Linked DNA regions of Saccharomyces cerevisiae S288C. The main gene of each other region encodes a partner of the protein of the gene in region 2 in a complex. Each region holds a gene or a part of one and is shown on either strand. Other genes may lie near its edges. A codon is read from its position in the direction of its gene.

Region 1 (3,185 bases), on a different chromosome or scaffold from region 2:
CGACCAGATTGCGAAAGAAATTACTGAAAGCTCGGCGAAAGATGTATCAATCAATGGTACCAAGAAACTATCGGCCAGAGCTACCGATATATTCATTGAAGTCGCAGGATCGATTGTTCAAAAAGACCTCAAGAATAAGCTGACGAACGTCATTGACAGTCATAATGATGTTGATGTTATTGTTTCTGTCGACAATGAATATCGTCAAGCCAAAAAGCTCTTTGTCTTTGACATGGATTCAACATTAATCTACCAAGAGGTCATCGAATTGATTGCCGCTTATGCTGGTGTTGAAGAACAAGTGCACGAGATCACAGAAAGAGCCATGAACAATGAACTTGATTTCAAAGAGTCTTTAAGAGAACGCGTTAAATTATTGCAAGGCCTCCAAGTCGATACACTATATGATGAAATAAAACAAAAGCTAGAGGTCACCAAGGGTGTGCCAGAACTATGCAAGTTCCTTCACAAAAAAAATTGCAAGCTCGCTGTTTTAAGCGGTGGTTTTATTCAGTTTGCCGGTTTTATCAAGGATCAGTTAGGTTTAGATTTTTGTAAGGCAAACTTGTTGGAAGTTGACACTGATGGAAAATTAACCGGTAAAACACTGGGTCCTATCGTAGACGGACAGTGCAAGAGTGAAACCCTTCTGCAACTATGTAATGACTACAATGTTCCAGTTGAAGCAAGTTGTATGGTGGGTGACGGTGGTAACGACCTGCCAGCCATGGCTACCGCCGGGTTTGGGATCGCATGGAACGCCAAGCCAAAGGTGCAGAAAGCTGCACCTTGTAAGTTGAATACCAAGAGCATGACTGACATTTTATACATTCTTGGTTACACCGATGATGAAATATACAATAGACAATGAAGAAAATAATGATAGATAGATGTAATAGAGTTTCTTTTTAAAATTGTTTATTTAAACTGGTAAACATGATGTACTTTACGTAGCGTTAATATACCGGCAACTATACGTTGGAAGCAATAGCTTGCTTGATAGCAGCTGGGTTGGCACCGACGACTCTGGTAACCTCCTTACCGCCCTTGTAGAAGATTAGGGTAGGCATGGAAGAAACTTCAGCTTTTTGAGCAACATCTGAGACTTCATCAACATCCAACTTGTAAAAAGCAGCGTCAGAATATTGTTCTGCAAACTTTTCAATCATTGGTGCAATCATTTTACATGGCCCACACCATGTGGCAAAAAAGTCAACAACGACTAACTTGTCGCCAGATGCTAAAGCACTGTCGTATTCAGAAGCGGATTTTAATTGAGTGACCATTATTGATGTGTTATTTAAAGATATCGTAGACTCTCGTGTATGTGTGCGTGTATAATTCTTGCTAGACAACAAATAAAAACTGGTCCTCGTTATTCTCTTGTCAGCTTTTCATCCCCCGAATGGCTTTCTTATATACTGATATCCCTCTTTCGGCTGGCTGGAAACTGAACGCGCTTAGTAAGAAAAGAGCCACCTTGTAGGGAGCATCCTTTACTAAGAGTATAAACAATTACACATATACTTTGATGATTACTTAATATTCACTGGCACTCAAGTTATGCTGATCTTGGAGCGATCTTGAAGCCGAGTATGTCATTCTTACCGGGCTCAACAAGACTTTCTTCACTGACTCTCACGCCGCCAACGGTTTCAATGCTTGCAATGGTGACCTCGCCACCCATGATATACCTGGCAACTTTGCCAACAGGGGTTCCTCGCTTGACCAAAAAACAATCTCTAAATACGTTGGTTCCGTTGCCACCCGTAAAAGTCTGGATGTTCTTCACAGTGTACACCGGTATTAGACCAAGGATGTCCGTTGCTGCTTGCAGAACCTGAACAACACCCGTAGATCCGAATCTATACAGGACCAAATCTCTGATATTTTCAATTCTGTTAAGGATCTTGTCGTCCAGTGGCTTTAGTTTGTCTGGCTCGTCCTCAAATGTGTCAACAAATTCCGTGCCCTCCTCGTATAATATAAAACCTTGCTTTTTCAATTTCCTCAAAAAAACTTCCGTCACTGCACTGGTCAGTACAGCTTTGGTGTCAGGATACTTTAGCATGATTTTAGAAACATTTTTATCGGCGTCAGGGTGGTCAATCTTGTTGAGTGCCAACACAGTTGGAAATTTCTCCATCATAAAGGACTTGACCACTCGAGTGATCCATTCGTCATCCCATTTTTCCAAAGGTGGTAGTCCCTTCAACCTGTCCAGGGCTTTTTGGATCATGGGCGCATGTGAACCGTACCCACCGAATTGCGCTTGAAGTGTGTCCACTATGCTAGATTTCGTTGCTGTATGTTTACGCACAATAGACCCCCATCTTTTCTTCAGGTTCCCCTCAACCCAAAGCCTGATTTCGTCTTGCAGCCATTCTATATCGTTCAATGGATCATATCCTCTTGTGTTCTTCCCCTCTGCATCTGTGGTTCCACTAACGTCCACCACATGAATAAGAGCATCTGCGTGTCTTAAATCATCCAAGAATTTATTTCCAAGCCCTCTGCCGGAATGCGCTCCAGGCACAAGCCCTGCCACATCCAACAGTTTGATGGGGATATGCCTCTTACCCTTGCTACACCACCCGTAGTTAGGTTTACAAAGATCTTCCTTGCCAAATCTGGAGCAAGCACACTCAACTTGCAAGTAGCCGGTTGCCTGATTTGGCTCGATCGTGGTAAAGGGAAATGCTCCTACCGCCGCACCTGCGTCCGTCAAAGAATTTAATGTGGTGGATTTCCCTGAAGATGGCTTACCCACAATACCAATCAATGGATCCCTGGGCATACTGGCTCTATTTCCGTTTTATTCTTACAGACAGCTTATACTACAAGTTAGTTGGACAAAAGCTAAAAGACGGAAAACGAAAACGCAAAATGAAAATAAAACCAACTCTCATTACAATTCATCCTAGAACACTTACACATCTGTTTTGCACTGCATAGCATTACATTTCTTGCATATCTATCTATTCGAGAAAAAAAAAAAAAGGCATCGAGTGAATTTTTCACCTTGATAAAAAAGCCCTTACTAACCCTACAATAAATTGTGCCGAAACCCTCTGGAGTTTTCTAGAATATTCTAGCCCCATCAGGGCTAGAATATCCTAAAAGTTTATAGTTGACGAAAATTTTTCAGCGATGAGATGCACATTTATAATGCTATGATGTTCAAC
Region 2 (3,878 bases):
GAAGGCTACCAAGTTGTTACCATGGAAGATGCATCCCACATTGGTCAAGTTTTCGTTACCACCACTGGTTGTAGAGATATTATCAACGGTGAACATTTCATCAACATGCCAGAAGATGCCATTGTTTGTAACATTGGCCATTTCGATATCGAAATTGATGTCGCCTGGTTAAAGGCTAACGCTAAAGAATGTATTAACATCAAACCACAAGTCGACCGTTACTTGTTGTCTTCTGGTAGACACGTCATCTTGTTGGCTAACGGTAGATTAGTTAACTTGGGTTGTGCTACTGGTCACTCATCTTTCGTTATGTCTTGTTCCTTCTCTAACCAAGTCTTAGCTCAAATTGCTTTGTTCAAGTCTAACGATAAGTCTTTCAGAGAAAAGCACATTGAATTCCAAAAGACAGGCCCATTCGAAGTTGGTGTCCACGTTTTGCCAAAGATCTTGGATGAAGCTGTCGCTAAGTTCCACTTGGGCAACTTGGGTGTTAGATTGACTAAATTGAGTAAAGTCCAATCTGAATACTTGGGTATTCCAGAAGAAGGTCCATTCAAGGCCGACCACTACAGATATTGATCAATTCAATTCCCATTTCAGTTCTTCTTTCTCACTATTTTTTAATGTTCAAAAACTCAACGGTTTGATCATCAAAAAAGATCATAAATAAATTGCAAATATAAAAACAACAGCTAACAATCCTATCACAGTATTAATACTAATACATGTGATACTAAGTTACGTTATCGAAAAGATAGATCCTGTATACCTATATATATAATAAATTCTTCAACAGTAAATATTTCATTCATGCACTTGACTTTTTTTCATAAATAAGGGCACGTACACTAAAAAAGCTACATTTCTCTCAGATAATGAGTAGGGCATGCATATCCCTGTGGATTCTTATCTAAATATAACTGGTGGTATTCTTCAGCATCGTAAAAGTTCTTGATTGGTTCAATAACTGTGGCAATCTTATTACCCCATTTTGGTTGCCATTCTTCCTTTATTTTGGCTAATTCTTTTAAATCAGCATCTGAATGAGCGAACAATCCACTGCGATACTGTGTACCTTTATCAGGTCCTTGTGAATTAGATGTAGTAGGATCATGGATTCTAAAAAAGAAATCAGTTAATTCTCTCAAAGTTATCACTTTGGGATTATAGGATACTTGTAAAACCTCCGCAAAATCTGTGTCACCACCACAAACTCTCTTATAAGAGACACTAGAGGGGCTATCCTTTTTAGACTCTTCTCCATTAGCGTAACCTACTTTACAATCCACTATACGGTCATTCAAATACTTCCTATACATATGTTCTGTACCCCAAAAACATCCACATGCTAATGTGATTAATTTATCCTTGGCTGGATCATACTTAATGGTTTTTGAAATAAGCGACGACATTGCAACTTGATTTACTTGTTAAGTTTTTGACGTTAGAATATAACTGTCTTTCCAATTAAATCTATATATATGATATTGAAAAATGTGTCTCTGTCTACTCTTGTTTATATATGCCCTTCATTTTACTCATCGCAACTCCCTCGTTTTCGGCGCGATCAACTGTGGTGGCGGATTTTTTGACGCTGTGCCCGTTAACTCATTCAATAGTGCTACTGCTATCACTGTCACAGGCTACAAACCGGTCGACTGTATCTTGTGCGTCTGTGACAAGTTGGTCAAGGACAGAGGAGTGTTCTCTTTCTAACCTTGGAGCAGTCAAGTTTGGAGGCAACATCTTAGTACCTTGAAGGCGAGCATTGATTGTGATGCTTGAGCGTGATTTTAAACCAGACTCAGGCGGATTTTTCTCAGCATTAGTAGTTCTTGACTTTTTTATTGGTGATATTTCTATTACGTCCTTCCAAACGTCAACCTGTTCGTCCTGTGTAAGATCCCGAATTCTTTTACCGGGTGAACTATCTAAAACGCTTTGGCTGTTTGTAATCTCATCTACAAAAATCAACGAATCATCGTCATTATCGCTGTGTTCATCGACGGTGGTCAGTCTTGTGGGAGCCGGTATTTCTTCCAGACTAGTATCTTCGTCTGTATCTACAAAAAGCCTTTTTCTCACAGGTTCCAGGATTTCCTTTCTCGACTCGCCTACCTTTCCGATACTTTTAATCGGCGAAGTATGCTTTCTTAAAAACTCATCCAAGTTATTCTTCTGTGGTAGCCGAGACTTATTCGATTTTTTACCTTTCTTCTCTTTTTCTTTCTGTATAAGTTGCTGTGTCTCATAATATTGAATTACTAATGGATGCGATTGAGGTATCAAGTATTTGGGTAACCAAAGACTATTTGGGTGTTCCATTATATCCATCTGACGTCGTGTGGGACTCTTGCTTCTACTGGGAGAATTACTGCGCTTCAAAGGAGATTGAGAAGAAATGGGTATATTAGGCAAGAATGTTGTATACCGTATTTTAAAACATGGTATTTGGAACTTTCCACCATCTATGTTCATAATTTTTTCTTCGGTAATCCTCATATTACCTTTACCTATATTATCGGACTCATCAATTGATAAAAATTCTCTTAATAGAAACATCTCGTGCATAGAATCATGAAACCACTTGTCGAAGCTAGAAATTTGAGGCAAATTCAAACTTTGTAAAAAATATTTCAGTTCATTGAAATTTAAGTTTCTGTAGTGTCCGTTTCCAGCCATATTTATGTATTTATCACTGAGAACTTCTTCATCAAAATATGGTTGGACAATGGGGTGAAAATAGTGCATGATTGCGACAGTTGATGGCCAGCCTTCAAATGAACCTTGATTCAATAAAACAGGATAATTTCTTCCAAATAGCTCGACAGAATGATCCTTGCAGTATAAATATAATCTTTTTTGAAACAATCTATACCGAGACTTCCTCAGACTTTCTGATGTCAAATCTTCTAAATTGAAATCTTTGAAAATGTCATAAAATTCCATGGAAAAGTTAGGATCTTCGCATTGAGCCAACTGCAAAGATTTGTTTTTACCCAAACCCTTGACTCCACGATTGTAATCGGCACCTAATAGCACGCTGAAAAATAAGAGAGACAGGCGATCAAACTTCTTCCCTGCTACTTTATTAATTTTGGGTAGATCTATAACAGTAACAAAAGATTCTTTACTATCATGATGTCTACTGGGACTGTGGGAAGTTATTGAACTTGGGCCAAAATCATCGTAGAATTTCGAGTAATTTTTCAGGATTTTTTCTCCCCCAAATACGAGAGTATCTGAATCGTTACTTAAAATGAAATCTACAGCCCCAGAAACTTGCAGCCAAACACACTGGGCTTCTCCCTCCCCACATGCGATTACATATGAAATGTTCATCAAGTCTAATAATTTCCGTACAAGACTGATGAACTCAGGGTCAGATGGCGCTAGCAATCCTTTACAATTGCCATAAACTTCATGATTCTTAACATGCTGTTCCCAGCTTGAATAGTACTCTTTCTCATCATCACAAGTAGTAGCGTTCTGTTCGTGGTTAAATTTCCTTTTGAAAGAGGGTTTCATAACTCCGTCAAATACAAGCAAGAATTCGACGTTTAAACTCAGTAGTTCTTTTAATCGAGATATGAAGTTTATCACAGCTTTTCCTGTAGTTGTATAACTTCTGCTACCATAATATTCTTGACTACTGTCGATATCACTATCACGCGGAGAACGGGTAGGACTCCTTGATCTTGATCTAGATCTGGCGCTTATATCTATATTTTGGATAAATCCACACTCAAATAGCCATCCATATGCGTCAATCGCGATTCTTGGAGCTCTTTTTTGCGATTTATTAAAGTCTATGACAAACTTTCTCAACGGAATTCTGGAATCTTGCAGATATGGCTTCAAAAATTCCCATATTTGTG

Evidence for each region. Proteins that work in one complex are often made in the same cells at the same time.
Region 1: the proteins of MXR1 (region 2) and TRX2 are in contact, whole or in part, in a crystal structure (PDB 3PIN), measured with the Saccharomyces cerevisiae proteins. Residues at the interface, in NP_010960.1 of Saccharomyces cerevisiae: Trp27 (codon at 1,334), Gly28 (codon at 1,331), His31 (codon at 1,322), Gly173 (codon at 896), Tyr174 (codon at 893), Ala175 (codon at 890), Cys176 (codon at 887), Pro177 (codon at 884), Thr178 (codon at 881), His179 (codon at 878); in NP_011725.3 of Saccharomyces cerevisiae: Trp30 (codon at 1,199), Cys31 (codon at 1,196), Gly32 (codon at 1,193), Pro33 (codon at 1,190), Asp59 (codon at 1,112), Val70 (codon at 1,079), Ser71 (codon at 1,076), Ser72 (codon at 1,073), Met73 (codon at 1,070), Pro74 (codon at 1,067), Gly90 (codon at 1,019), Ala91 (codon at 1,016), Asn92 (codon at 1,013).

The regions. Positions count from the first base shown.
Region 1 is NC_001139.9:911,942-915,126, forward strand, and holds TRX2 (thioredoxin TRX2), read right to left. Parts: upstream 1,287-3,185; coding exon 972-1,286; downstream 1-971. Other genes in the region: SER2 (phosphoserine phosphatase), read left to right, coding at 1-871; YGR210C (uncharacterized protein), read right to left, coding at 1,562-2,797. UniProt on the Saccharomyces cerevisiae protein: Participates as a hydrogen donor in redox reactions through the reversible oxidation of its active center dithiol to a disulfide, accompanied by the transfer of 2 electrons and 2 protons.
Region 2 is NC_001137.3:232,471-236,348, reverse strand, and holds MXR1 (peptide-methionine-S-sulfoxide reductase), read right to left. Parts: upstream 1,413-3,878; coding exon 858-1,412; downstream 1-857. Other genes in the region: SAH1 (adenosylhomocysteinase), read left to right, coding at 1-579; YEN1 (crossover junction endodeoxyribonuclease), read right to left, coding at 1,609-3,878. UniProt on the Saccharomyces cerevisiae protein: Has an important function as a repair enzyme for proteins that have been inactivated by oxidation. Catalyzes the reversible oxidation-reduction of methionine sulfoxide in proteins to methionine.